3 linked regions of the Caenorhabditis elegans genome follow. The protein of the gene in region 1 interacts with the protein of each later gene in a pairwise test. Each region holds a gene or a part of one and is shown in the gene's direction. Other genes may lie near its edges.

Region 1 (8,027 bases):
GCAATTTTTAATTTTTGTAAACATATTCTGCAATTTTTAAATTCTGTAATTTCCTTTCAAATTTTTAAAATTAATATTGTATTTACCTTTTAATTTTCATTCCAAATTGTGTACCCACATAACTTTTATTTCAAACTTCATTTTTATTGCAAGAATAATTTACTGTCAAAAATGTAGATTTTTCTTTAGAACAAAATTCAACTTGCATATTCCAAAAATGATTATTTTTAATTGAAACGAAATTTTTTTTAGCAATTCTTTCATTTAGTGGGGCAATTTACAAGAATTTTTTACCAGTTCATTTTAAATATTTCCTTTTTGTTTTTTTTGTGCAATTCCAAAATCCAAAATTTGTGTTTCCAATTGAAATTAAGATTTTCAAACGATTTCATTTACTCTTCGCCTTTATTGCCCTTCTTTACCCGTTCTCCTATCCTCTTACTAACATTAGCATTTTTTAGAAACTTTACGATCTCTCATTTACCCTTTGTAAAATGACATCTGTAAATACCCTCTCTGTGAACATCACTGTCCCAATCACTCGCACATTTGGAGTTTCTCAACCAATTTCCACTGCTCTCCCAAATGCGAAAGACTTGGAGCTGACGTCATCACTTCAAAAAACACTCAATCAATACAACAGTTATGAGCCACAGGAGGAGACATCACAACGAGTCAAAGTACTGCAGAAGCTCAATGGATGTGTCAAGCAATGGATTCAAAAGATCACAGAAGCAAGATACCCAAAGGATCAATTGTTCAATGCCGGTGGACAGTTAATGGCTTTTGGTTCGTATCGCCTCGGAGTTCATTCAAGTGGAGCTGACATCGACACACTCGTACTGGCGCCACGACATGCCACACGTGCTGACTTCTTCTCCAGTTTCAAGCAAATGCTCGCTAAGGATCCAGAAGTCACCAATCTGTGCGCTGTGGAAAACGCTTTCGTTCCAATCATGACAATGAAGTACTCTGGTATTGAAATCGACTTTCTTTTTGCTCGACTTGCCTTGAAGGAAGTACCTGAAGATTTGGATATCCTAGATGACGCTCTTCTGAAGAATCTGGATCAAGAGAGTGTGAGAAGCCTGAATGGATGCCGAGTTGCTGAGAATTTGTTGAAGCTAGTCCCAAACCAGGAAAACTTCTGCATCACTCTTCGTGCCATCAAATTGTGGGCTAAAAACCATGGAATCTACTCGAATTCAATGGGTTTCTTTGGAGGAATCACATGGGCAATTCTGGTTGCTCGTGCTTGTCAGCTTTATCCAAACGCGAGTCCATCCAAATTGATTCAGAAAGTGTTCTTCATTTTCTCCACATGGAAATGGCCGGCTCCAGTGCTTCTTGATTTCATCAGCAGTGATCGGATGGATTTGGCTCAGCTCAATCAATTAGTTTGGGATCCTAGAAGAAATCAATCTGATCGATACCATTTGATGCCAATTGTGACTCCTGCATTCCCACAGCAAAATTCAACTCACAATGTGTCACGGTCATCAATGAAAGTGATCCAGGAAGAAATGAAGGATGCATTGATCACATGCGACAATATTCAGAATGGAAGTTGCAATTGGATGGATCTTCTAGAAGAAATCAACTTCTTCAGTCGGTACAAGCACTTCATTTCCTTGTCAATGACAGCTGAAACTGAAAAGGATGAGTTGGCGTTTGGAGGATTCTTCGAGTCAAGGATCAGACAACTTGTGCTCATTTTGGAGAAGAATCAGGGAATCAAGCTTGCTCATATCAATCCAAAGAAGTTCAAAGCTGCTAAGGATCCAAAGAAATCAGTTTGGTTCATTGGTTTGCAATTTGATGAGAATGTGAAGAATCTGGATTTGACAAAGGACATTCAGCAGTTCAAGAGAAACATCGATTATCAAGCAAAGTCTGTGAAAGATATTGAAGCGAATTGTGCAGTGGAAACCGATTTTTCCTATGTGAAGAGATCAGATTTGGCTCAGACGATTTCTGTGAAAGATCTGAAACAAGGAAAAATGTACAAGAAGCCCGAGAGCAAGGATCCAGTCAGCAAGAAGCGGAAAGTATCAGAAAATGCTCCAAGTGTTCCAAAAAAGCAGAAATTGGATGTTTCCGAGAAGTCTTCAGTGGAATCGTTACTCAAAAACTTGAAGAAGAAGAGCTTAATTGTTTGAATTTCTCCTATTTTTTGTTTCTATTTATTTCTATTCATTTGTATTATTTTCTGGTGTTCTTAATTTCTGGTGTTAACAATTTCTATTATATTATGTTCCTAATTTCAATAATCTTTAATTTAATTTTTTAACTTGTGCTATTATCTTCTTGATTCGGTTGTAATACTTTCTGGTTTAACTATTTCTTTATTTCAATTTTTTAAAATTAATAAATATTATTAAAACTCAATTCAATGTGTTGGAAACTTAACAAATAATTGAATTAAGACGGAAACCAATTTTTTTGGTCAATTTTTCGAAAGAATTTGATTATTGAAACTTTAGTTTTAATGGAAATAATTGTTATTCACCATGTGCTCAAAAATATATCCAAAAATGAACTTAATCCCCGTGAATTTTCAACAAAAACATTTAGTTTTCAATGGATTTTGTTCAAAAATTTCATTCATGAAATTTTTCTAGCCCTTGTGATTTGGTTTTCATGAATGTTACATGAAAGCGTTTTCTATTTCAAAGCTACGGGGCATTTTTCAATTTAAATTTTATCCGACGACATCAAAAAACCGAGATATAAACCATCATGCACCTAGACCGCCAGATTGAATGACGTTGTTTCAGCACGAGAAATCTCTGACTCTAGGCTCCATCTTTTTTCTTCATCCCTCCCTTCCATCATCTTTAGAAACCTGAGGTTCTGCCCAATGTCTGGCACCTCCAGGCGCTAGCCAACTATTTCCATTGTTTGTTTCATCGTCTATGTCTCTATCGCTCTCCGCTTCCCCCAGCCACATGATTCCATTCTATGTTCGTATAGTTTCACTTTTGAGAGAGCGCTTTCCAATCTCCCCTCTATTCGATATTTTTTATCCATTAAAATTTGACATGGATCACGGAAGACGTCGACTTCACAGCGGTTCGACTCCGAGAGGAGGAGAACGTCCTGCAAAACGGGAGAGAATTTCTGTGGAAGAGCAGCAAAGTCAGGAGATAAGGAATTTGAAGAGAAAGTTGGAGGAGGCTAGACAGAGAGAAGACAAGTATATTAAGAATGAACAGTTACATCATACGGCTATGAGAAGCAAGCAACAGAGAATTGAGAGAATGGAAAAATCAATGGAAAGCACGAATAGGTTGGTTTTGGAAATACGTGTGATTGTGATGGAATGTTTTTGAAATAAACATTGAAAATTTTATTTTAATTTTTTTTAGCTTATTGTCCTTAACTTTGACAGCTTATATCTCTGTTGTCATTTGTTCTATTTGAAATTTGTCAATTGACAAAGTATTAATAATTTCTTTTTCTAAAATTTTGTAGTTAATAGTTAACTGATAACTTCAAAATGAACTGAGATATATCTTTTCAAAGTGAACTAGTGGAGGTGCAATGCTAAACGGTACACAAATTTTATGCACAAATTCAATTGTCAAAACAATTTGATGTTTTTTGAATTTTAGGTGATTACTTTAAGGTCACCAACTTCGAGGTCTGACTGATCTAGTTTTCAAACTGTTTGACCTACAGAAATTGCGGGAAATTGACACTGTAACCTCACACAAATTTTAACATGCGAAATATTATTTTCTAGGCTCATTGATAACATTGAGAGCCTAGTTTCATTTTTATTTTTCTAGATTTTCACAAAATTATACCTGTCAAAAGAACCCGATTCTAGAAAAATGTACGCCACACAATGCCGCCTGAATGACATGGAGAATATCTATGATGATTTGGAAATGGAGAGCAAGATTATGGCAGACTTTATAGATCACTACTATGATTCTCGGAATATTACTGAAGAGTGAGTTTGAAGAGGGTAGGAGGACGATTAGTGCAATACTCCACAGTATCTATAAAAGTTCTACGTAGGCACATGATGCCTCCCTGAAGACCTTTGTGGTAGCCTACTTATGTCTGTCTCGTACCTATGCAAAATCAGATAAATTTCATTCTTTTAATTAACTTTCATTTAACTTTAACTCATTTAACTTTTTACAAAGTTTGCCCCTACGTAGGCGGGCAAGCATGGAACGAACCTACATATCACGTTCAACCTAAAATTCCACATTTCAGGGATCGAGATGAATTGCAGGACAAGCTGGACGAAGAAGCTGCAAATTACAGGGATCTCGAAGACCGAATCAAGGAAGTTAGGCACCGAGATCGTTATATGAAAACTGTGGAGACTGAGAGAAAACGAACAACGTTCTATCGGAAGAAGATGCTCGAGTTGGCCGAGCAGCTGCAGTTTGAGCAGCAGGAGGTGACTGGAGAGACTCCTCTGTGGAAACTTTGCGAGATATGCGCGCATCAGTTTTCCCACAGTGATGAGTATGTACCACGTGTGTTGGGTAAGAAATGGCTGAAATGTTCACTTTTCTGAAATTCCAATGATTCAGTATGTGGTCACACACTTTGCACGTCTTGCATCGAAAAACTGGACGTTGGAGACGGAATTCGCTGCCCATTCTGCAGAACTTGGACCAATATGAAACGAATTGAAGCTCTTCCAAAAAACTTTCAGATTCTTCAAATGTGATTGCCATAATAATATTCTTTTGAATTATAGCTTTGAACTTGAAATTTTGTGTCTGTAATAATGAAGTGTATTGTATAGTGATAACATTTTCTAATTCGAATAAGGATTAAAGGATTAAAAACTTGGAAATTGCTTATTAATCAGCTGATATTTTTGACGATTTATGAGGCTACGGTATTTGGTCTCGACACGAAAAATATGATCCTTGAAGGAGAATAATAGTTTCCACGTGGTTATCGTTTGTACAACATAGTCTTACAGGAATCATTAAAAAAAGAAACTTGATAAAAACCACTATAGAACATATCAATTTTCAAATTTCTCTTGCAAAATCTCATTCTTGTAGCTTCAGATTGCAAAAAAAATCACATTTTTGCAAAAACTGCTTTTCCGCTTGCAATCTAAACACATCGAAGTTTCATCGGTGTTCAATAAAACTTTAGGTATCAAAAACGAAGTTATTTTTTCAGATAAAACCAAGCATTCAACTAGACAATTCCAGTCCTATTTCCCGGCATATAACATGTAGTTCTAGATCCATCCCTACTCGTGGATGGATTTATGGTTTCCCAAATAGGCCTGGTAGCCTATGAACGGAAACTCCTTATTCGAATATAAGTTTCTCAAGTCGATGATAAACGTTTGAATTGGTCACTGAAAGCTAGTTCCCTTCACCAGATGCTTCTACCATGCTCAATAAAAACATTAATTTATTTTACAGACAATCATGTTTACGAAAAGAAAATATAGACGCCGATACAATCAAATGAGTGGAAAAAAATTGAAAAAAAAAATTGAAATTTAGCCATTATAATCCCGACTTGTGTGAATCTACTGCTGATGATCCAACTGTTCTTCTTCGGCGGCAGGAGCTGCGACGGGGGCTGCTACGGCTTCTGGCTCTTGTTCAAGTTCATCTTGAGCCGCTGCTGGTGGATCTGGTGCTTGACCTGGTTGCTGGTGAGGTGGCGGGAGCATGGCGGGGTCAGCTGAAAATTGGAGGTTGTTGGAAATCTCTTTCAAAACTCAAAGTTGAGGTTTTCTGATTCAGAATATGACAAAAAAGTTGGGGAAACTTTGGCAAGACTTTGTTTGGGCCACGTTTAGGATGTTTTTGAGCTAAACTTGGGTGCAGCCTGGAAAAAGTTTTGCAAAAATTCGGCCCAAGAATTGCCAACCTCTGAAGCCTAATTGTTACAAACTCGGACAAAAATTGACCGGAGATACGATAATCCTGAATCTTAGAACCCAGAAGCCGGACGTCCACTTTAGTCCGGTTCACCTAGCCTAGTCTAGTGAGAGAAGGGTTACGGTTGATCTAGTGAGGACTGACAAGTCGTACAAACGTTAGCCTATTAAGGATTTTCAGCTAACTTACTCAAAAAGATTTAGCTGCGGAAAAGAAACTGGAAAACTGCTTCTCATGGAGATCGACTGGGGGAAGTGTCGGAGTACTGTGAGCCTTTACTTACCAGGTCCTTGAACTGGCTGATCCCCTGGGGCTGGTGGCTGGGATTCTAGTGATGGCCATGGTCCCGGTCCGATCTCGCTGCTTCCGCGGGAAAAGCATCCGCCCATTTTGAACTGAAGAAAATCAATTTTTTGTATTATTAAAAAAGACAGAAGTTGAAAAAACCAGAAGAGAAATATAGAAGAAAAACTGCGAACTGTCGGGAGAGGCAAAACAAGAGTGAGCGGCGGAAATGAGTGGCTATCGATCGTTGCCCTCTAGGAAGATGCGCGGTCAATGAACAAATTTCTGTTAAAATTCACGCGCCGAGTAAGTTTGATCTACCGAAATTTTGTAGGTCTAGACAAAATATAGGTTTTTTTGTTTTTTTTTAATAAAAAAAAACAACACATATGCTGCAAACTTATTTTTCCGCGAATGCAAATTCCAGACAAGATCTGTTGAGTTTTTAGACTGGGCGCAGGTAATCAGAATCACTGCTCTTGTCCCAACGATAACTGAACTAAAAGTTAGTTGCCTTCAAGCGAATAAAACGATGTACTAAGACTGCCCTACAATCCCGACTACTTCACCAGATGCTTCTAAAACTCTCAATAAATACATTGATTTATTTTACAGACAATCATGTTTACGAATAGAAAATATAGACGCCGATACATTGATATGATTGGAAGGAATTGAAATAATCGAAATTTAGATATAATCCCGACTTGTGTGGATCTACTGTTGATGATCCAACTGTTCTTCTTCGGCGGCGGGGGCTCCGACGGCTTCTGGCTCTTGTTCAAGTTCATCGTGAATGATTTCCACTGTTCGTGGATTTGGTGCTTGACCCGGTGGCTGGCGAGGTGGCAGGAACATGGGCTGGGCGGGTTCGGCTGAAAAGATAATTGTAGTGCGGATTATTTGAATATTCTTATTTTTCAGAACTCAAAATGTTTATTCTCCAAAATTTCAGATATTCCGGAATAGGACCAGAAGGTTGACTAGCTTCAGAAGATGGGAAAACTTGGGCAAAACTCGGGTGAGACTTTTTTCAGACCACCTCCAAGTTTAGCCCAAGTCTGATCCAAACTTTTCATGTGATTTTCTAGAAAACATTGGCGAAAATTGGAGAAAGCCTGAACAAAGTCTTCCCAACAGTGGGCTAAGTTTTGACATCCTCTGAACCAAGTCAATATTTTTATGTCAAAGTAGGACAAGAAGTTGCCGCCGAGTGCCGAAATAACCTGAAGCCGGGCGTCTCTTTCAGTCCAATTTACCAAGCTTAATCTAGAGATACTGGGACAAAATTCGAAAGGCCGTACTAAGAGCTTCGCCTATTCCTAGATTTCGAACGACCAGGTGTTAAGTTTCTTTTTCAAATTTATTGCGGGATAGAACCCGGAAAACGTTTTCCATGGCGGGGGTTACTGTAGGAGTACTGTACTCACCTGGATCTCGAACTATAGGATCCCCGATTCGTTCCACTTGTGCTGGTGGCAGAGGCGGCTGGAGATTTGGTCGTTGTCCGACCTCATTGTTTCTGCGGGAAAAGCATCCGCCCATTGTGAACTGAAAAAAACTCCATTTTAATAAATAATAATGAAGAAAAAAAGTAATAGCAAGAAGAGATAAGTCAAAAAAAATTGTATGTAAGGGCAAAATAGGGCAAAATTAGTAAATAAGAGAAATGAGTGGCTATAGATGCTTGCCCTCTGGGAAGATGCGCGGTCAACACATTTTTAATGTTCAAATTCTCGCGCCCAGTAAATCTGATCTACAGAAATTTTCTAGGTCTAGACGAAATATAAGTTTTTCGTTTCTGTATTTAAAAAAAACCAGTCAAACTTTCATAGTTGAAACTTCTAGTTTTTGTGT
Region 2 (10,252 bases), on another chromosome or scaffold:
GATGCGCAGTGTAAATTATTTTCCAAGGGATTCCAATTGATTGATAAGTATGTTAGCTTTAACATTGAAACTTATAGAAAAAATAAGTTCAGGTTCATGACATCTATTGAAAAGCCAACAGATGCAAAAGGCGGTGCACCTCCATCCACAGAACCACCAGTGACATCGATCCCCGATTTTGATGAGCCTACTGATGATGAGCCTCAAAAACCAATGATGGACGATCCTGCACAATTACAAGACGATGATAATAGAGTATGGTTTTCTTTTTCTCATTTTAGAACAATGAGAATATTATTAACAATTTCAGAAGCGCTGGGCGGATTATGATACCCCATCTATTACCCCGGTGATTCCCGTGCAAACAGCACACGGATCCAAAACGTGGAGTAGCAACCCTGAGACAAGTATGTTTATTTCAAGTAAGCTTTTCATTATATTTAAAATATTTACAGAATCATTACAACCGCTGGAAATCAGAAATGATCTTGTCTCTAGCTGGACTCAAATGCCATTTTTCGCGCCTCCAACTATTCCACCAGCCCCGCCGCTTGCTTTCAAATCTGTGCCTTCACTAATTTTACAACCGATTCAAGCACCACAGTTGGAGAATGGAATATTCTTCTCGACAGATAAATTCAATTTCCTCAAGGTGAATAACAACTTGAATTTTTAAAATCTAAATTTTTTCAGGACTTCAATCCGATCAAGCGATTCAGACGATCTCCTGATTACTACGATCAGATCGACGAAAAGAAGAAACCTTCAAAAACTTCTGATTCATCTAAAAAATCGTCTGGCAATACTGATGATTACTATGGAAACTTTGATAGTGACATAGATGAGAAAGATGAAATTGAAACCACCGGTCTGAAACAGTGCGTCCATTTTCTGGGACTTGGTGTATAGATCTTATCCACATATGTACAGTTTTTCTATCATTTCTTATTTTTTAAAATTTCAGTTGTTTGATTGACGGGTGTAATAAATCAAGATTCTTTTGAAATGAAAAACTTACTGAACGCAAAATTGGAAAAAAGAAATACTCTGGTTAATGGTCCTGTTTGGAAAATGTGTGATTTGATTTGGACAATAGGGCAAATTTGCATATCGATGTTTTTTTCCAAATCTGTTAGTGGAAGAACTGACTAATTGACACATTGTGACTGTATGTATATAAAAATTTTGATACTTCTGGTTTTTAAGTTTGGTTATGAGCACGTAACTGTAAACAGTTTTCTCATTCGGCAATATTCTATTTTTGAAAGAAAAACATTTTTTAACACTTTAAATAAAATTTAATGGCTGAAACTTTCGTTGTAAATAAATGTTGACAATTGGTGAAATAGTTCAATTCGAAAAAGTTTTGAAACAGAAAACTTATTTTTTAAAAAATCTCTAATTGCCTTTGGGATCACAAATGAATAGAAATTATTGAATTGAATCAGAAAAAGAAACAATTGAATTTTCCGAGTTTGAAATACAATTTTTGCGAACATTTTAAGAAGTGCAATCTCTTGAAGGAAATAACTTATAATTAAAAAGCTCAATGATTTACAGTAAAACGGTTTTTGAAAGAGAACTTTATCAAGCTGTTCTTTTCAAAAAATTTGACAGCAACATATTTTTTGAATACCTAGACTTGTCGTAGTTTGGTGTTTCCTGCTACACGGCGAGCCAGCAATTTTCCTGCCATCGAGCCCCCACACCGAGTCCAACGGTCGCAGACAATCTTGTACACGTGTGACCCATGGAGCGTAAAAAAGTAACAGTAGACTAGGAAGTGCGGTTGAGAACAAACAAGGAGCGGCATTCAGAGGAATCCTGAAAGTGCAGACGTTGCTTCTTCTTCGATTCCCAATCTAAGTCCTTCCATCCCTTGATGCATACTATTAAAAGAAAAAGGAAAGGTATGTGACGGGTTCATTGTTAGTCGTAAGAAGTGTACCAATTTGGGTATACCAATTCGTGCCAATCCAACGGGAAAAATAATAGAACGATGATGGTCGGGAGATGTTGGAGTAAAAAGAGAAGGAGGAGGAGGAAGACGGAATGTATACTTTTGAGATGATGGATATACATTGTGGGATGGAGTATAAAAATTGTTTGGTACGTGCAATCATAGCTGGGCTCCGTCCCTGCTCAAACGATTGTACATTTCCTTCCGTCTCGAAAGGTGTATCTGTCGACAATACAAGTAATTGAGCTTCCTTCTCTTATCCCATTCGACCCCACCCCCATCATTCCGTCCTATGAGACATTTTCTTGTCTTAGTCTTTAGACGACAACTGGCAACTATTCCCTAGTTTTTTTTTCCAATTTTAGATCTCCTTGAAACATCTTTTTTTATTTTTTCCAGGTACCTTGTCAAAAACCATTAGCAAACTGCAGCTCAAAACCATGGAAGACGAAGTAAGTCTTAGAAATGGTACTGTATTTTTCAAATTTTTTTCAGCTCGACTCGGATCTCTACGATCGTGTGAGCTATTTGAATTTGATGGACAAAATCGATACTCGGAAGAAGACATCGAAAGTGGGAAAGTTCCGCGATGAGTAAGTCCAGTTTTTGTCATGTTTTCCAGAAACATGCACATAAGTGACTTCCGGGAGAAGAAGTCTTTTTTGTTTGCTTAATAGTGTGCCAAGCAGTTGTCATATTCGGTTTTCATGGAAGTTTCGGTTTTCACGTTTTTTAATGATGTTGTGCTGTTTTTATATTCATTGGTTGATAGTTTCTGATTTTGAAATTTTGTTTGAAAATTTCCAAAATGTGAATCTGTAACTGTGAGGAAGTATAATTTTAATTTGTATTCCCCCAGAATATACTTTTTCAAAAAATACTGTTGCCTCAGAAAATAGCCAAACCTAACAAAAGTAAACCGGTTCACTTCGTTCCAAAAAAAATTTATTTTTCGTAATATCTAAAGATATATAAGACGAGAAGAGGAGAAAAACAATGAAAGCACTTGGGGCACCTCGATTTAGTGAGCCACCAAAAATCCAGGAAGCCTTTAACGCTGCCCCAACATAAAAGCGAGTCTGAACGAGGAGGTTGAGGAGGAGAAGCAGCACACAAAAAAGTCGAAGATAGCTTTCTATTTAAGAGCATTTTTGCTCCACCAAACCTTCACTCAACCATAGGATTATTGCTCGAAAAAGTGAGGTGTACGGCGTCGGTGCCCCCGCCAACCTTTTTTCTCTCTCGCCCCGTTGCTCCGAACCACCCCGATTAACCCGAGGTCAATTTCACTTGCACTTGAATTGATTCGATCCGAACTCTGATTCAAGTTGCAACTTACTTGTCTATTTCATTTGCTGGTTTTTTCAAATCTATTACTGTACAATGCATCGCTCAAAGTCCCGACCGGTATCTAGGATGTCAAAAAAATCGTATTTATATTCAAGCTCAGACGAAGATAATGGGTATCCAGTCGGTATGTCTTTAAGCATTCTATTTGCGTTTCCCTTGTGCTAATATGCTTTTAAAAAATTTGGAAACGGATGCAGTTTTTTTGTTGGAAAACACCTGAAATTTTCCCGAATTACTAGTTCCGCCACCATGTTTTTATTTTTACACCGCGCAGACTTGTCGAATCTAACAACTTTTGCCAAAACGTCTCTAGCCAGCAATTGTGAGGGCTCCTGCCAAATAAGCTGTGTAATTGTCGAATATCATAAAGAATGGGGGCCAAAGGACGAGCACAATAGCATTTTTTAGGGTGGGGGGAACTATTATTGTTTGCGGGGTGCCTCTCCTGCGCATTTTTCTGTTTTGTACCCATCGTGACTGGTTTGTAAACATCAGAACCTTTCACTTCTGGCACTTTTTCCGGCTGCTCAAGTTCCTGGCACCCCATTCATTCAGCTTTTCCCCCACTTCTAATAATATCGCGTCGAATTCTAGAAAATCAGTTCCATCAAGCACCATCCTCGTCCAGTAGTGGATTTTTACCACCATTGAACTCTAAAGCAGTGTCATGGATTGATATGGATGACTATACAATTCTGCCAAGCCCCGACGAAGCTCCATTTGATCACAGCGACGACGAATATTTCACCGGAAGACGACTACGGCAGAGAAAAGCACCCCGGACGGGAAGATCGGTGACAGCGTCTGAATCGATGAATCAGATTGCAGACTTTGATTTCAGGTTTAGAAAGTGTTGAGTGTTGCATCCTGTGCTTATGTTAATCTTATTTAATTTCACATACGCTTTTTTTGAATATTGATGAAATCGTTTTTACCGAGCTCAAGCAAAATTGAATGCAAAATTGAATCTTAATTTTGAAGGCTCTAAAAGAGGGTGTTAACTTATAAGATGGATTTCAAAAAGCAAATTCCATCGTAAAAGTTTTTTGAACATTTTGCAAAAGAGTTGATATTAGGATTATTGCTGTAAGTTGCATATCTCTCGCTTTTTGTTCATTATTTAGATATAATTGCAGTTACCAATCTTAGTTTAGCCATATTTTTAGATCGTTTGAGCCCCCCTCGAAATATTTGAAAAGTATTCAAAAGGTCTTATTACGTAATTTGACACTTGGATTCATTTTCAGTCGAGTATCTTCGATATGAACTTTAATTGAAATATGAACATAATTTTTGACTGAGCTCAATTTAACATAAATAAATTCATTTGGTTCGTTTTCAGTTCTGACGCGCCTTCTCCAAGACTTGACGCTTCAGAAGCCATGAGTGCTCCTCCAGATCCGGATATCAAGGTTCGAATTTTTTTTCACTCCCAAAAAAGCTTTTTCCGTTTTCAGCGCTACTGGGACAGCAGTTTAGACATAACTGATCTGAGTGGCCACGATTTCACTATTTTCAAGCAACTCCAAGGGATGCTTGGAATTGAGAACATTTCATTCGAAACTCTTGCTCGTTTCAACGTTCGTGTCCAAACCGACACCTATGGTCAACCTGCCATTCTTTTTCCACGGTATCGTGGAATGACTTCCCGGCTACGCATTCCAATGGGTTTGAAGTTGATCCGTAAAGTTGGAGACAGAATGGAAAAGGAGAACTATCCACTGCCAGATGAAACTTCGTAAGTAGAAATTCCGATGTCTTCCTTCATAGTTACCCATTTCCAGCGTTCGCCAAAAGTTCAATGGAGTTTTCGGGCTTCATATGGCAACTCTGTCAGATCGAAGTGTAGTCATTACCACAAATGAGCGTGATGCTTTGGCGATCTACGAAGCCACCAAAGCTCTGGTATTTGCTCTACCACATGGAGAAATTTTGGATCCACTCGTGCTTCCGTATCTGGAGGAATTTGACAAGATCTATCTGTGGTTCCCGGTTCAGCATGTCAGTTATGCCAAAGACTGGGGAAGTGCTTTGAACACCCTCAAATGTCTTCTTGTGAAGTGAGTTTATGGTATTCAGTAGGACTATCATGGAAGGCGCGGATTGCGGCGTAAGACAGGTGGCGTTCCGGAGCCTGCTTGGAAGCCCTAGTATATAGAGAACGTTCGGAAAACAAAACCAAAAGAGTAAGTTCAGAAACGAAGAACGCCCAATTGAATTGGTTCGTAATGGTGATCATCGGCTCATTCGGAACTCACTATCTAACTCGGTACTGTTGCCATTTTGTTCTTGTTTTTTTTCAACTTTCATAGTTTAGGTGGTTCGAATGAGAGAGCGTGGTTTCCGTTCAATGACAGATTTAGACATGCGTGAAGGAATCCGTTCAGACCTTCTCAACTCGACAAATCGCGTTGTTGGATTTGGACAAGTAAGACGAAAGGAAAAAAGATAAATTTCGGTCTAAATAATTTGTTTCAGTGGAAACGATTTGCTGTTTTGAATAAGTATCTTGGCGGGCTTCGGCCAGGGGAGATGACAGTTTTAACCGGAGGAACCGGCAACGGAAAAACTACATTTTTATGTGAATACTCATTGGATCTATTTACTCAAGGGGTATTTTAAATTTTAGCATTAGCTGAGTTTTTCTAATATCTCTGGTTTAATTCTAGGTGCGCACGCTGTTCTGCAGTTTCGAGATGCCTGAAAAGAAGATCCTCCATTGGATGCTTGTGCAATACGCTGGGTATGATGATCTAGTGTTTTTTCTATTGTTATTCTATTTTATTTTTCAATGGCTTGCAACTTTTTAACTAACATTTGTTTTTGTCTGCAGTCCTTCACATCTTCGAAGCCTCGCGCGCACTAACTCATATAAAAATGGCATCAAGTAAGAATATTTAGAAGTATTAGGATCTATCTGGAATAGTTTTTGTTTTTTCTAAATTGGTTTTTGAATATAATAAGTGAATCAAAAACTATTTCAATAATTTCCTTATGAAACCAGTAGCCAACTAGACCTGTTATTTATTTTATTTTACCACCTCACAGTTTTGAGTTGTAGAACATCTTCATTTCTCATTCACTGCTCATTTTGGTTACTAGCTAGTGCTTTTCGTGGTGCGCGAGGCAATTGTCGATTATCTTGAAAGTGTGTTTTTGCACGGTAGTTTGTTCAAGGAAACGGAAATGGGTATGTGGATGAGTGTTGGCATGCTTATTCTGATTGTGCCCAGACATCCGTAGCCCATACACAACTCCCAATCAATCTGGTTCAGACTTCCGCTGCATCGAGTAGAGTATAGCAACTCGATAAATTCATGGTTGGATAGATTCGAGAGATCGAGTTCGGCGTTGACAATGCTTGACTCCGAAGAGTTCATGGAGAAGTCCATAAATGAAATAGTCAGAGTAATAATAGTGGAGCAGGGTTTGAATCATAAAATACCATTTTAGGCAATTCGTATTCACGTTGAAAACAGTGGTATCCAACATGTTGTCATCGATAATCTCCAGTTTTTGATTAACCAAGGAATGATGGCAGATGAGAAGTCAAGTGGCCTTGATAGATTCCACCTTCAGGTTATTTCTTTTTACATCAACTTACAGTTTTGGTTCATAAACTAACATTACAAGAAATGGGAACATTTGGTTTAGTAGGAGAAAAACTACAGTGCGCCCAATTGCTGGGACCCCCCTTCCATTTGAGCGGTTTAGGGCATTTTGGAACTTTTTAATAGGAAAATAATATGGGAATCGGATTCAGCATTACAAAAAACCTCTGTGTCAACAATTGTATTCGGATATCCCAAAAATTGGGAGCAAAATGGCAAAAAGTTGAAAAATCGACCGCCCAACTGCTATCAAGAGGGTGTTTTTCTGGACCTCGTAAATATTATGACACTTCTCCAAAAAAACATTAACCAGTTTGTTGAGTATCATTACAAAATTTGTTCATATTTTGAAAATATATGTACATGCAAAAACCCAAAACCCTTAGTCCTCCTCTAAACATATAAATCTTCTTGAACCTTCGTTTTCAGGATCGATTTGTCGGATACATGCGTCAACTTGCTACTCAGAATCAAATTCACATCACTATGGTTGTTCATCCCAGAAAAACTGACGGTGATACTGAAATTGATGTGCAACACTTTGGAGGTTCCGCCAGAGTCACCCAGGAAGCTGATAATGTCATTGCTATTCAGCGGAAGCGTGATGATCGTGACCGTTCCAAGTTCCGAAAATTCTTATACGTAAGCTTCTAGTAGAATGATATGACCATCCAGGATTCTATTACAGATTCTGAAAAACCGCTACTATGGCCGACGAGTGGAGAGCGATCAACTTGAGATGGTTTTCAACCCATCCACCTATTCTCATACAGTTGTAGAGTTTCCAAAGTAAAATTTTCTTCTTAATCAAATTAATTTTACAATTTCTCCAAGTTTTTCGAGTGTCATTATTCAGTTCTATTTTTTAAATATATTTTTCTGCTTTTTCCTTTCTCCCTATTACGCTGATACTTGATGAAGAAATATACCTTTTCTCCTGACCCATTTCATCCACCTTCTCCCTCCGTAGGTCACATATTATTCTGACGTCTTTCCCTATTTTGTCCGATCTCGAAAACACTACCGCGAAAACACAAAGCTTCTGTAGTTTGCAAATAAATAAATTTTTCATTACTCGACGATGAGAATAAAAAAATGTTGAATGAAAGCGAAATTGGAAATCAAGAATCGAAAACAAAAAATTAATCAAAATTTGTCACATGTTTTTTCGTGGAGGTGCAGGATGAGGCGGAGCAGATGTGGGAAGTATCCGAATTTGTGGCTGTAATTTTTTTTTGTAAAAAATTAAAGGTTTTCTTTTAAATATTAACAACTTGCACTTACAATTGGAACATAATCACAGACGGTTTCATTGTTATCATGACCAACGGCAAATACTGTCAGCCCGAGAAGAATTACTATTCTGGAAAAAAAAAACATTTGAATATTTGAACAGCTCTAGAAAAACGACAAGAAGCTTGAATAAGTGGCAATTCTGACGAAGATATGTGCTAAGCCGTTACATAATTCATTGAGTTTGCGTGTGTTTAGTTTTGAGAAGCTGTCAAAAAGCGTTTTCAGGAAACAAATTTATTCAAAAAATGGGCGTTGGCAATTTATTTTTGGCTGGAAAAATTTCAAAAAATGGAAAATTTCGAGTTTTCAATGTTTGAAGTTATATGGAATTTGTTAAAAAGCGCTTTTGTGGGGAAAAATTTTAACAAAACGTTTAAAAAATTGTCTGTATTTTTAAAAAATTTACTGTCAAAAAAAAAGTGGTTTGAAAATTTGGCAAATTACCAAAACTCTGAAAACTTGTAGAGATGTTGCTTTATCATCATATCATCGTTATGATAATTTTGGGGCAATTTGAATAGGTATTTATTTTTAATATTAGAACATCATATTATGAGCCATTCTCCAAGAAATTTCTAGTTTTCAAAAGGACATTATTCTTGACCAGAGCGATTAAACAGTTAATTTGCGAAACTGTGTGTATTTGTAAAAAATACAAAGTTACACAGTTTTTTTTTTTAATTTTGAAAATGGTTTTGACAATTTTCTGAAAATTGTATCAGCTTCAAAAAGTTATTCAACAAAGATCAATTAACACACAATGACAAGGAATGGGGTTTATCTCACGAAAGTTAGCTCAAATTTAAAAGCACTTTTACAACCCTTCAGAGTAGCGAAAAATACATTGAAAAATATTCATTTTTTTGGTTCATTTTTCTTGTTCAAAATTTTTCATTTGCTGCTGAATTTTTCGTTGAAACTTGTTTAAACTGTCCTTTCAATTGGCAAAGACTTAGTTAGATCGGAAATCGAAAAAAAATTTGCTGAAGTGCTTTTCTTGTGAGCACTAAACGTTTGTAATTTCTCAAAATGTTTTGTTTCGAATTCATACGCAATGGACAAAAATAAAAAGTTTAATTGACTGTTTAGCATTTTTGTGTTTCAAAAATTCATATAGTTTAGTAAGTAAAAAACTTACATGGCCAATGCAAGTAAGAACGGTTGGTTAAATCCGAGTTGAGAAATAACGGCACCCATCAAGTTGGTTTATTATGCATCATTCAACCAATTCTGAATAAGTGATCAATTGTGGAATTACTCATAAATCTCAGCAATGTCGTAAATCTTGAGGTAAGTAGAATGGGACAAAAAAAGAAAGATAGACAATAAGTTTGGCACTATACCAAAAAAAGAAAGGTAATAAAACTGAAAGCAAAACGTACGGAAATCGACTGGAAAAATACGAGAGAAAAGTGCAGGCTTGGAACAAGATCATATTACATGGTAATACGCAGATGCGATTCGGTGAGGTCTTTTGAAAGATGGAGGAAATGGGTATAAATTTGATGAAACTTGATGAAAATTGTGTAAACGTAACAAAGAAAGAGATGGGAAAAGTTTTGAAGGAAAAGAAGAATTAATTGTTTACGTTGAAACACGCATTCAAACAAAAATAAAAGTTGGGAAAAACGGAAAGCGGTCCCCGATAGACGGGAAGCCAATCTAATGTGTTTATAAATGGAAAATGGAAAGGACCCTGTGCGCGTTGGTGAGTTGCCAAAACCTTCGGAAGTGAAAAAGGACAAAAAGGTAGAAAAGAGGGGAAAAGAGACACAAAAAAGTGTACGAGAGCAGCGGCAAAGTGGCTAGAGAGTCAGAGAAATTTGATTTATTTTAAGTGAAAGCTTGCGCAACTCTTTCAGCAGCGGGATTATTGAAAATCGCGCTAATTAGATGAGCTCTCACCTCTCTTTCTCAGGCCGTGAAGAATGTGAAGCTCATCCTTCATAAATGCTCGTTCGCGTAATGCACATGTCAGATTAGTTGATGTCAGCTTTGAGAGAAAAGAACTCATGAGGGAAATGTGTCAATAACG
Region 3 (11,787 bases), on another chromosome or scaffold:
TTTACTTTTGGCCTACTCTTCCTCCCAAATGTTCAGAGATGAAAACAAATAGATATTACGGTTTGTAAGCAAACGTGTGAACTTTTGAATGTTCGCAAGTCAAGATATAGAGTTGAATTCCGAAAAATAATAGAAAACTGTAGTGAAATTGAAGGTGAAAATTGAAAATTGAGCAACAAGTATAGCCGAGCAACCAAAGGAAAGATATTGTAAAGTGAAAAAGATTTACGATAAGGATTGATTAAAAATTGTACTTGCCTGATGATTGCAAGCGCTTGTTGTTGAATCAAGAACATCAAGAAGCCGAAAGGAAAAAATTCATTAGCCTTTTTGGGAAATGAGCGGTGATGATGCCGTGAAGGAAGTTGTGTGCACTATGTTGAAGTAATAACATATCCGGGTCACCTGAAAGTGTATAAAAAATGTTGGACTAGAAAGAAATGTACATCAAACATTAAAAAATTCAATATCCAGGTCACAATATACTATAGTTCATTTTTCATCTTTCTAGCCAAAAAAAAACTTAATCTTTAGAACTGAGGCTTAATTTTTAAGCTGCGTTTTAAGAAATATGCTTTCAGGCTACTGTTTTCAAGCTGCCTTTTTAGGCTCAGTGATGATAAATATTTTCAGGTTTAGATCTTCAGGCTTAGTTTTTAGGCTTGATTTATATTCTGAGGTTATCAGGTTTAGGTTTTCAAATACGTTTTTCGAAACATTCAACATTTATAAACATTGACTCCACGTGAAAAGTTTCATGAAGTATCAAAAATGAAAAAGAAAAAACCTTCGTAAAACTATGAACATAAAGAAAAAAATTTGAAAAGTGATTGAAAAAAAATTACACTGCTCAAAACACACATTTCAAACATTTTGTTCTGTACCTGTACATCATTTTTTGAAAGCGATGTAACCACTGTGTTTTGTAAAGTTCTTGTTCATTATAATTCACACGTGTTTAAAATAATTTTTTAGTTATCAGAATGACATTACAAGTGGTGATGATAACTGATTAGTAGTAGACATACCGGTTATTTTGCACGCGGTTTTACTCGTTCAATCTTTTGAAGGTTATACAAATCTAACACCTTTCAAAGAAAATGACATACATACTTATTTTTATGGGTGTTTATAAATTTATACTGTTTTCATGTATTTTAGGAAATAAATAATTTTAACGAGCTTTTTTCAAAATTGTATGTCTTATGTCCATGAATGGTAATTATAATTGTAGTCTAGTAGTTATTTTTGTTGAAATTTAAATACTTTGCTTTCAGTACTTTTCCATCATCATACGTCTCTCAATTGGCTTCTACTTGCTCTCTTATCATTAACCATTTTTATGATAACCAGACGCATAGTTTCATTTTCTCAGACCATATTTATTTTTCAATTTATTTGTTTCTTTTTGTATTCTGTTGAATTTTGAGCTACAATTGTGTGGTATTTTTAGATGTTAGACCTATACCCTGTTCAAAATTTAACAGTTGATCAGTTGGAATACGAGAAGAATACACGATTTCTTCAACCGGCATGGGATTGGATCAAAGTTAGTTTCACCTAACCTTTTTTTGTAAATCATGATTCGATTCCAGAATGGAAATGAACACATTTTAAGCTCGCCGCTTTTCCCGCCGTTCTATGCGCTCTCAATCGATTACACTTGGGTAGCCGTTTTCACATGTAAGCACGTACCACGGGTTGATAACATTGAATTAAACTACAAAATGTTTCAGTTATTGACGTGTTTCTGTGCAACGTTCCATTTTTCAAAGATGCAAAAATCCAAAAAGATCGAAAAGTGACCTGGGATTTGATAAAGAAGTCACTGAAGCTTCAAGGATGGAATCAGCTCCTGTGGATTTACCCGATGGCACTTGTCCAGTTAATTTGGGTACCTGATACAGAGCTTCCTATCCTGGCACCAACAGTTTTTGAAATGCTTTCACAGCTGGCTATATTTTTCCTGGCCTTTGATTTCACATATTTCTGGTTCCATTATATCAATCACAAGGTAATTGATAACAAACAACGGTTGCATGTGTGAAGTATGATTGGAGTAGTCATAAAACACGGTTTTTAATAACTTGTAAATCGAGTTACATTGAAACTAATTAGACCATGTTTCACAATATAATTCAAAACCTTCTCTGAATGTATATAATCGGGAACTCACCAGCTACAAATAATTTTTTGTTGTGCAAAGCTCGCCAATTTTCCACCAGGTTTACATTCGTTTAGGCAAAAGTTTCCAAAACGTTGCACATTCCGAGTACTAATTCATATTGCGGAACCTGTCATTTTGTCGAAACGTCCTGATAGGAACTTTTTGATTGTTGCAAACGTTTCAGTGTTTATTTTTACGATTCCTATTATTTGGTTATCCATGTATGCAAAGAGGTTTATTAAAATGTATATTTTGACGTCACATAATGCATTTTAGTTTATGCTATGACGTCATAATTTACATCAATGTTGATTTCTTCATTAGCAGCTTTTCTCTCACTTGAAATTAAGATTCGAAATAATTTTTTACCAACGTTAAGCACGTTTCAGTTTGAATTTCATAAAGCTATTACATATTTTTCAGCGATTCAAAAATTATATTATCAGTGGAATGAATCACTGATAGTCATAATTGTCCTATACACAAATCATGGTAATATCACTCAACATTTTGCAGGTAAAATGGCTCTACCGCTGGTGTCACTCTGTTCATCATATGTACTCATCCCCATTCGCAGCATCTGCACAACATCTTCACCCATTTGAGGTTTTTGAAAATTGAGATTTATAACTAAAATAGTAAGTTTTTTCAGCTGTTCTTTGTTGGAACATTCATCACCACTATCCCATGGATCTTCCCAACTCACTGCTTGACCTACTGGATTTGGTTCTTTATCGCCCAGAGCGTCTCTTATGAGGTATTAAAATTTGACCTTTAAAGTTGACAAAGTTGAATTCAGGTTCACATTGGATACGACTTCCCATTTGCTCTTCATCGCATTTTCTGGTTCTACTCGGGTGCTCCGGCTCATGACATGCACCATCTGAGACCACTGACATGTTTCCAACCGTGGTTCAACTATCTCGACAGACTCATGGGTTACCATATTACCTACGCCGATTTGAAAAAGATGACCGAGGCAAAATTCAAAAAGTTCGGGCTCTATTCAGCTGAAGACGAGAAAGGATTAATCAAAATTAACTAAGCCACGTACATGTATTACCCCGTAACGCAATAAACGAACTTTTTTTGCTGTTGAAATGTGCATGAGTGAGCAAGACTTTTTCGGAACTTTGTGTTTGCTCCCAGACAGACCGGAAAATGTGAAAGTAACTGAATCAGAAGAAATGTGGTATTGAAACGTGAGATCTTGCAAAAGGAACTAAGAACACGAGACTTGACCAAAAGTTCAAAAGGTTGCTTGAAATGTAAATAATTTTAAATCTGAAATATCCCCCACCAAAAGGGTTAACCTGTCCAAATTGTGGTAAATCTATTTTTTTTAATTGAATTTTGTTTTCATAGTCAAACAATCGTAATTCTGAAACGTGGCCAAAAATGTCTACAAGTTTTAAAACAAGCAACTGTGACTCAAACATTTGTTCGGAGTATTATTTTTAACCAGGTGAATCGTTTCTATTTGGAACCTCGAATCGTCTTCAACAGAACATGCTTCACCCAATTTTCTCGCTGATGAGATTTGTGCAGAGGCGCATGTCTGTGTGTCATCGTGTAACTTCTATTTGCCGGCACAAAGAAGATGAGCAACAAAAAGACCTCCTCCAAACTTGCCCCCATTCAAATCGCCCATTAGCGTTTAGCCTTTCTCTCTTATAGGACCACCCATTGAAGCTGCAAAGATTCACGCATCCCAAACGCGTCGAAATAGAGGATGATGGGGGGACCAATTGGAAATGAGACATGCGCGAGAAGAGAGAAAGAGCCGAAGAAAGGAGCAGTTCTTCCCGCATATTTTCACTAGTATGTGTGTGCATTTATAGCCTTCCCCCTTCTCCTTCTTCACGGCTCCTCCTCCACGATGTGGGTGATGAGAGCGAAGAGGGGCCAGACCGGGAGCCCCTGCGCTTCTTCGACTAGCATTGTGCATTCAGAATCGATAGCTGTGTGTGTCTTGCCATTTCGTCTACTACATTGGGCTAGTGGTGCTGCTGCTGCTGTCGCTGCCGCGAGGAACCTCACATACGTCTTCTTATTAAAATTTCGGAACGAGCGACGACGGCCAACGGGTCATTCTTTCATTCTTTTATTTTGTTGTCAACTCTACCTTGGTTTTAAATGGAGAATGTCTGTTTTCAGCAAAGATTACGAGGTAAACATATAATTTTTCATATATTTGTTTATTGTCGGCTGAGTACGTAGCAAAATATTCGTAGATTATGTATATTCCGTTTAGAATCTTTGATGAAAATTTAATGAACTGCAAAACAGGTCAACCAAGTTGCTGATTGCCAGAAAGTAGCCTTAGGTTCGGAAATCATCGGTTGTCGGCTGCCGAAAGTTTTATCGTTCGCCAACTTCGGCAACTTTCGATATTAATTTCAATTGTTTTGTAAATACGCATTCAAAGACCCTAAATATTGCGAATATCGTCACTGTAAATAAAACAATTATATTTTTTCCTCGAAAAACACTCTGAAATATGAGTTTAACAGAAATATATGTTTGAACAACGCCAAGGCCTCGGCAGCCGACGGTTGCCGGTTGCTGAAAATTTCAGCGATTGGCAAATTCGGTAACCGCTCATTGACTGATACCCAGATGATGCTGATGCAATTAATTTTCAACCTGTAACCTAAATTTTAGTGAAACAAGGTAGCCAACGAACTTATACCTCTTGATAAGAAAAGTACTTGGCTTCTCGGGCAATAGGTACCACAAAAACTACTAAAAATAACCAAAGTGTCAATCAGCGCCAAACACACAATCTCATTTCCTCCGTGTTGAGTCTGTAATAATTGATTTTAGATCTGGAGACGAGGGTGAGAAAATGGAAATTCTTGAAGTTGGGATTGACTGAGGTTCGGCTACGGCCGAGAGATCGCCGATCAACTTCGGTAGATCAAAAACATAAAGGTTTGTCTTGAAATATTGGTGTCTAGCCTTCAAATGGCATCATTATTCTTAAAATTCCATCTAATTATTCTTTGTGATGAGATCATCGGCTCAATTCCAAAAAACACGTATGTGTTGTCATTCTTAATTCCCTCAAATTTTGTTTTACAGAATGCTCTTCCACATCTTCAAGTCCTCAACACCAACGGCCGAATAACATTGGGTATTTAACAAGCCCCATGGAAAGAAAATGTGTGCCTGGAGAACGACCTTTAGTTATTACATACATACAATTTCAGTTACTCCGCTTTCCATGAAACCATCGCCATCCAGAAGAGATACTGAGAAAGATGCGTTGGAATACGAGTTTCTAGAAGGGTACAAGAAATCGGGAACATTAGAAATTGATGGTAAGACATACATCAAAGCTTTAATTTTTAAAATCTTTTTCCTATCAGGAGAAAAGCAAGTTGTCGACCCAAACGAGATTCACATCATCAGCCTGCTCGGAAGCGGCTCTTGTGGTGTAGTCGAATCTGCGACGGTTCGCTCAAAATTGATGGCTGTGAAGGTGAGCATTACCCCTCACACGGAGGCAGTGATGTATGGTTGAGATACACATCCGGACCACTTTGAATAGAATAAATCTTGCATGGCTCCAGTATGAACTCTTGAAAAAAGATTGACAGAATCGTTGCATACGCAATTCAAAAGAGAAGGGGTCCTTCACGGGTTATCATGCGGGGGCGAAAAATTGTAGTGGTGCTAAAGACCATTAGAAATTCCATTGTTTTCGTTTTTCTTGATTCAATTGTCAATGCAAAGCAAATGCGTTAGAGAGGAGGAGAGACCTCTAAAATTGGTGGAAAACAAATTTCAGTAAAAATTCTGAACCTCTTTCAATGTGAGAACAGTAGTTTGATAAATGCGACTCTAGAGAATACGTTGACACAGAATCATAACGGTTCCCTCAGCTTTGTCTTCTTCAGACTATGTACAAAAATGACAATAAGGAAAATTTGAAACGAATTCTTCGTGACGTCCGAATTATGTCAATGTGCAATTCTCCGTTCATTGTCACCAGTTACGGATATTTCATGTTTGATGTAAGTGTGACATTCTTATTAACATATCCAATTCCTCCATTTCCAGTCGTCTGTAAAAATTTGTATGCAAATCATGTCAGCGTGTTGTGAGAAGCTGCTGCGTCGCATTTATCATTCAAAATTGGATTTTTTCCCCGAGTTTGTGGCCGGTCACATCGTCTACTCGGCGATTAGTGCACTGGATTATCTCAAGGAAAAACATGTAAGAGATTAAAGAGAAACTGCTGTGCACAAACTAAACAACTAATTCCGGATTTTCAGTCGATTATACATCGCGATATAAAACCCTCGAATATCCTTTTTGATGACAGCGGCAATGTAAAGCTGTGTGATTTTGGGATAAGTGGATTTATGACTGATTCGATGGCTCATTCCAAAAGTGCAGGATGTCCGCCATATATGGCTCCTGAAAGATTAACTATCGAGGTATGAAATTGAATGTTGATCTGTGAACAAAAATGTGCCGGTGGCGGTGACGCCCTCCACGCGCCCGATTTTTCCCGCAACTTGCCCCGGTTCCCTGCTACTAGTTTCGGCTTGATCATGCTTGACATGTCAAAAAAAAAATTTTGAACTTTTTTTTTTGAAACATAATCTTGACCCGAAATGTGGGTCACGTCCCGATCGCAACAGTGAGCCGCGGGGCACTCCTGTTAATAGGTCTAAAAGTAAATAATGAAGTTTGAAAAAATTGCAGACGAATTCCAAATACGACGTTCGAAGCGATGTCTGGTCATTGGGAATCACTGTTTACCAACTTGTCACTGGACTCTACCCATTTCCACTAAATGACATGGAATTCACAACTCTCACCATTATTGCAAACCTGAATTTGCCATCACCAAGTCTGAGAGAAGAGGTTTCGGAATTTCCGTTACGTTTTCAATACGCTATGTTTCAGACAAAGCGAAGTTTTTCACCTCTATTCATTGAATTCTTGGACCTATGCTTGCGAAAGGATGTTCGAGAAAGACCTGAATATAGGCAATTAATGGTAAAATAATAGGTTGGAGAAATTTTTAAAACAAAGGTTTTTCTACAGAAGCATGATTTCTACCTTGATTACGACCCTGCCAGTGGAAGTGCTTACAAGTTCAAAGCTGTAAGTGTTTTTTTTTGCAAATTTTTCAGTACAAAAACTGACTGTAATTTCAGATCAATGGAAAATGCAATCAAGTTGCGGATTGGTTCGTCGACGTGATTCGACTTTCAAAAACCGAAGATGAATTGAAGTCGATCCCAAACACGCCTTGTGTCAACTAATTATTGAAGACTTTTAAGCAAATTATCACTTTCGTGTTCTCTCAGAAATTCTCATTCTTTTAAAATTGAAACGAGTCTGATATCATCACTGGTGCTCTTCTCTGCATAATATTTGTTTCTCGGTTGCTTCCAGTTCACTTTTTGAAGAAATTCTAGGTATGATTTAAAAAGAAATACTGGGTTTTTTAAACGAACAAACTAAAAATCTGTCCAAATGGACGAATATCGTAATAAAAGTTCTCAAAAAAATGTAAATTGTTTTAATGGCTGTTCTATTTTGCGAAGCATTGGTAGTTTAACGCATATCATTTTGCAAAATAAGGACCATTTAAAGTTTTCTAAGAAAGCAATAACCTACCGATTCTTGTCCACAAAATCCTTCGATCATCGGGGAAGCTCCTAGAATCTGGTTCAATTTTTGAGGAGGCTGCAAGCTTGTCAACTGGGCTTGCAACTGGGCTCCGGGATATTTCTGAAATTTGAAGTTTAAATTAAAATTTCATTTAGGACAACTTACTGATAATCCGTTTTTTTTTTAATTTTCTGTTCTTGTTTCTGTTCTGTTTCTGCTGCTCCTCACTTTCCGCTTTCCGACGACGTTCGTGGTGCAATTTCTCTAAAATTTTGATATATTTTTGCTTAAATTTTATCGATTTGTAAGTGACTTTCGAGTGTGGTACACTTTTTGCATCGCTAATCTGCCTTCGATACTTTGCTCACCTAATCTGAAAATTGGAAATTTAGAGCTTTTCAAAATAATTGTTATGAGATAACTTACGGAGTTGGCTGGAGGAAGAACTTGGTGATGAAGCCATACTGTGCGAAGTTTCTGAAAATCGAGAGTACGGTAAACTACGGTATAATTGGATTTTAAAAGAAAAAAAAAATCAAAAGTAAGTTTGCCACAAGAGCCGGATATGATAAAGTGGCACCAAGAGAAAGAGAGTGAGAGAGTGTGTAAAAGTAAGAGGGTGCTAGACGAGAAATACATAAACACAATAACACCTTCTATTTTGCCGCCACCGCCAAAAAAAGACGCTAACTGTACGCCTTCCGGTTGTCCGTGGGGCGGATTTGCAACAACATTTCTGAATAGTTTTTCTTGCTAGTTTTTTAAATTTTTTCTTACTTCTATTTTGATCAAATCTTGAAAATTTTCAATCTAGAAAGTTTTCTCACTTATTTTTCTTACAGTAATTATAACTTGCTATCAAGAGCACAATGCCTGCTGCTCCAAACTACAGTATTATGGTAACCAGCACCTACTTATCACAATTTCCAACTTTAAAACTTTCCAGACATTTACCCTTTGAAGGAAGCCACTCGAACTTGAAGGAATCCACTCAAAACTTTGATATCACCATTTTCGACCGCAAAAACTTTTTGCATTGAAGATGCAGTCGTAAGAACAACAGAATCCCAATTTCTGCTGAAGAAAAATGGAGAAAGAAACATCAATATAATGCAAATTACGAACAACGGAATCGCGACGAAAAGGCAGCGTTCGAAGGATTTCTTGTCGAAACAAGTGCGATCAAGGACAATTTGGAGCAATTGGTTCAAGAAGTTATGCCTGAAAATGTGGATCAGTTTGTAAAGAAATCGGTGACAGTTATGGAGACAATCCTGCAAAAAATCTCCAGACATAGAGGTGGATGTGAGATCTTAATTTGAGATCCACGTAAACTTCATGGACAAGTATCAAGAAGCCATGAACTACATATCTTGGCAGCACCAGCACGATTTTGTCATAGCCCAGGAGAAGCACAAAGACCTTCTACCTACCCAGGAAAGAACCTGGTCATCGTGGATTTGCATAGGGGAGAGAATTGCAAGGCAACAGCTGAAAATTGACTGCATCAAAAACTTGGAGAAAATTACAACGTTGATTGGGAAGAGGGACCTGCTTGAAGATTGCATGCCATCGTCAGTGGAAACATAGTCTTAGTCAAATTTCTGATTTTTTATTTTCAATCGCCCGAATCCTCCAATTTCTTGTTTTTCAGATCTGGATCAAATGCTCGAAATCTACACCATTTTCTTCAAGCTGATGTTGCAAAACTGCGGAGCCCGCCGACGCTGAGCTAGTCAACAAAATCGTCGAGCATTTTTCAAACAACTTTCCGCACCCAGAGAATCCTTCCGAACTTCCAACATTTGCGTCTACGTCTTGCTCGAGACTTGAAATCGCTCAACTTGCAGTAAAAGTTGTGAATAAAACGTGGTGAGAACGTGATGATAAATTAAAATCTAGAAAACTTTGAAAAATGCCAATTTTTTTCAGAACTTTTCTGGCTCACCACTCCACTTCCAAAATCAGCACATGCCATAGTTTTATAATTTATATATTTCTAGTCATTGTTTTAACTTGTTCAAATTTTATTTAAAATAAAGCTTCAGATAAATTGAAAATTGAATTTTTAAAAATTGAATTATTGCGGAACTGATTTCACATAAAAACTGAACTACATTTCCTTTTGAAATGTTAACTTCTGATTTTCCATTTTGGCAGAGATGAGTTCAGTACGCGTTTTCTGGAAGAGCTTCAGAGCATCTTAGAGTGCAGCTTATGAAAATACCTTGTAGTCTGGCAAATGAGGTTTGAAGGAATCACCTTTGGCATTCATTTCCATTCCTGCTCTGGAAACGGCTTCTTGTCAGCTCCGGAACTGATACAATCTCTCCGATGTCAGCTCTCCTGGAAGTGAGACAGAACGAGAAAAAATCGTTATTACTGTAGCGATGATATTCAAATTTTTATTTATTATAAACCACCTCAAAATGACGACAATTAGCAATTTTCGAACTATACTCAATCAATGAGCTTGTATCGAGAAACGGTAATCCCTTTTTAGAGAGATTAAAGAAAGAGCACAAGTATTCATCTATCTAGCGGCGAGGTACAAGCAATAATCCATGGGACACTTAAAAAAAAACGGAGGTCATCGCGATGCCCAAAAAAATTCAAACGCATACCCGTGGCACATACAAGATCTCTGCAAAAAAAGAGCCGTTTTTGGTGTTGTTTTTGGAACTCCTACATCGTCTATCAAAAAATTCGTTGTTTATCGATTACTCTTTGTTTGCACCCCATTCATATTGTCAACTGGTGACACCCAGTTTCTTATCAGTAACATTTTCTCCTCAAATGACTAGCAGAAATATGTTCTGTAATAATTTGGAATCACAAAATGTTATGAGAGTTTAATTTTGTTTTCTCCTTGTGTCGGTTGCCTTACAAAATGTTTTTTCAGGAAAAATGCCGACGTTCGGACGTCGAGTTCCGAGACCAAAACTGGATTTGCCAGCGCTCAGAGAAACAATTCCCGAGGTGTTGAAAAACGGTGCTCTTGGTTATATCTGTCTGTCTGGTAGGAATCTGAACGTTCCGGAAGATATGCTTCATGGTGGAGTAAGAATTGGAAGTGGTGAAGGACAATCAGCAGTGTACCGCTTAATATACAATGGAATGGTTATTGCAAGAAAAGTTAGTTTACAAAGATTTTTAAATTAAAAGTTGTGGTTAATAAGGAGTTGAATTAGTTCCATCCTAATAGAAAAACGATGATATATCCACTGCATTTTGGATTAATGAAATTACTATTCAAAATACGTCACCTAGTGACTTTTATATTTTTTAGGATGTAGCGGTAAGATTACCTCAAGGCGGAGATGAAGATTCAACAAATAAATTAATGGCAAAACGACTTAGAGAAGTGAATGTAATCAATGGATGTGCTCCATGTCCGTTCATTGTGCATTTCTTTGGATATTACGTTCACAAGTATAAAGACGTATGTTTTCAGAACACTAAAAAAACGGTATACGCGAAAATTACACACATTACAGTGCGTGAAAATTCATATCTTCATGGAGGAAATGGCGCTCAGTGCATCCGTTCTCAAAAAAGAAGTACTGAAACGAGGCGGAATAGTTCCCGAGTTTGTAATAGGACGTATCGCTTGCTCTGTAATTCACGCAATGTGGTTTTTGAAGGAGAAAATGGTTATTTTTATTCAAAAAATTGCTTTAAAAAATTTAATTTTCAGCAAATCATTCATCGGGATATTAAACCAGGGAATATTTTGATTGACTATGATGGGAGAGTCAAAATTTGTGACTTTGGCATAAGTGGAATTCTTCAAGACTCCATTGCCGTTTCAGCTACGGGATGTCAGCAATATACTGCTCCAGAAATCAATGAAGTATAACTAAAACAAACAAAAAATTTAACGTGAAACCAAGATTTCAGCTAGCAATGGTTCACTCACCAGGATATTCGATCAAAAGTGATATATGGTCACTGGGAATCACCATTTTTGAGCTTGCTACATTGAC

The links.
Region 2: the proteins of F43G6.8 (region 1) and twnk-1 interact in a two-hybrid assay, tested with the Caenorhabditis elegans proteins (one large-scale study listed by BioGRID).
Region 3: the proteins of F43G6.8 (region 1) and jkk-1 interact in a two-hybrid assay, tested with the Caenorhabditis elegans proteins (one large-scale study listed by BioGRID).

Annotation. Positions count from the first base shown.
Region 1 is NC_003280.10:11,809,043-11,817,069, reverse strand, and holds F43G6.8 (RING-type domain-containing protein), read left to right. Parts: upstream 1-2,977; 5' UTR 2,978-3,041; coding exon 3,042-3,289; intron 3,290-3,832; coding exon 3,833-3,958; intron 3,959-4,230; coding exon 4,231-4,508; intron 4,509-4,556; coding exon 4,557-4,696; 3' UTR 4,697-4,776; downstream 4,777-8,027. Other genes in the region: pap-3 (Poly(A) polymerase), read left to right, coding at 495-2,159; F43G6.7 (Skin secretory protein xP2-like), read right to left, coding at 5,528-5,685, 6,169-6,274; F43G6.10 (Small hydrophilic protein), read right to left, coding at 6,888-7,045, 7,601-7,715.
Region 2 is NC_003284.9:5,789,344-5,799,595, forward strand, and holds twnk-1 (SF4 helicase domain-containing protein), read left to right. Parts: upstream 1-3,987; coding exon 3,988-4,151; intron 4,152-4,254; exon of another isoform or gene 4,255-4,393; intron 4,394-4,462; exon of another isoform or gene 4,463-4,583; intron 4,584-4,652; coding exon 4,653-4,722; intron 4,723-4,767; coding exon 4,768-5,048; intron 5,049-5,094; coding exon 5,095-5,370; intron 5,371-5,506; coding exon 5,507-5,579; intron 5,580-5,627; coding exon 5,628-5,738; intron 5,739-5,788; coding exon 5,789-5,923; intron 5,924-5,979; coding exon 5,980-6,053; coding exon of another isoform or gene 6,054-6,080; intron 6,081-6,143; coding exon 6,144-6,197; intron 6,198-6,211; exon of another isoform or gene 6,212-6,355; intron 6,356-6,585; coding exon 6,586-6,718; intron 6,719-6,763; coding exon 6,764-6,889; intron 6,890-7,350; coding exon 7,351-7,563; intron 7,564-7,609; coding exon 7,610-7,714; downstream 7,715-10,252. Other genes in the region: F46G11.2 (uncharacterized protein), read left to right, coding at 1-47, 93-255, 311-407, 456-652, 694-909; F46G11.4 (Inner membrane protein), read right to left, coding at 8,078-8,143, 8,206-8,284, 9,356-9,414.
Region 3 is NC_003284.9:5,364,362-5,376,148, forward strand, and holds jkk-1 (Dual specificity mitogen-activated protein kinase kinase jkk-1), read left to right. Parts: upstream 1-4,106; 5' UTR 4,107-4,303; coding exon 4,304-4,337; intron 4,338-4,954; coding exon of another isoform or gene 4,955-4,974; intron 4,975-4,993; coding exon 4,994-5,101; intron 5,102-5,251; coding exon 5,252-5,332; intron 5,333-5,379; coding exon 5,380-5,490; intron 5,491-5,538; coding exon 5,539-5,651; intron 5,652-6,069; coding exon 6,070-6,186; intron 6,187-6,232; coding exon 6,233-6,388; intron 6,389-6,447; coding exon 6,448-6,612; intron 6,613-6,883; coding exon 6,884-7,045; intron 7,046-7,087; coding exon 7,088-7,180; intron 7,181-7,228; coding exon 7,229-7,288; intron 7,289-7,341; coding exon 7,342-7,449; 3' UTR 7,450-7,807; coding exon of another isoform or gene 7,808-7,921; 3' UTR 7,922-7,966; coding exon of another isoform or gene 7,967-8,065; 3' UTR 8,066-8,227; coding exon of another isoform or gene 8,228-8,264; 3' UTR 8,265-8,670; coding exon of another isoform or gene 8,671-8,700; intron 8,701-8,747; coding exon of another isoform or gene 8,748-9,375; 3' UTR 9,376-9,455; coding exon of another isoform or gene 9,456-9,673; intron 9,674-9,733; and 1 more. Other genes in the region: F35C8.5 (Cholesterol 25-hydroxylase-like protein), read left to right, coding at 1,454-1,549, 1,596-1,683, 1,737-2,014, 2,684-2,773, 2,820-2,924, 2,967-3,212; F35C8.8 (uncharacterized protein), read right to left, coding at 4,955-4,974, 7,808-7,921, 7,967-8,065, 8,228-8,264; sek-4 (mitogen-activated protein kinase kinase), read left to right, coding at 10,709-10,936, 11,091-11,243, 11,299-11,454, 11,499-11,654, 11,702-11,787. UniProt on the Caenorhabditis elegans protein: Dual specificity protein kinase which acts as an essential component of the JNK signal transduction pathway. May phosphorylate jnk-1.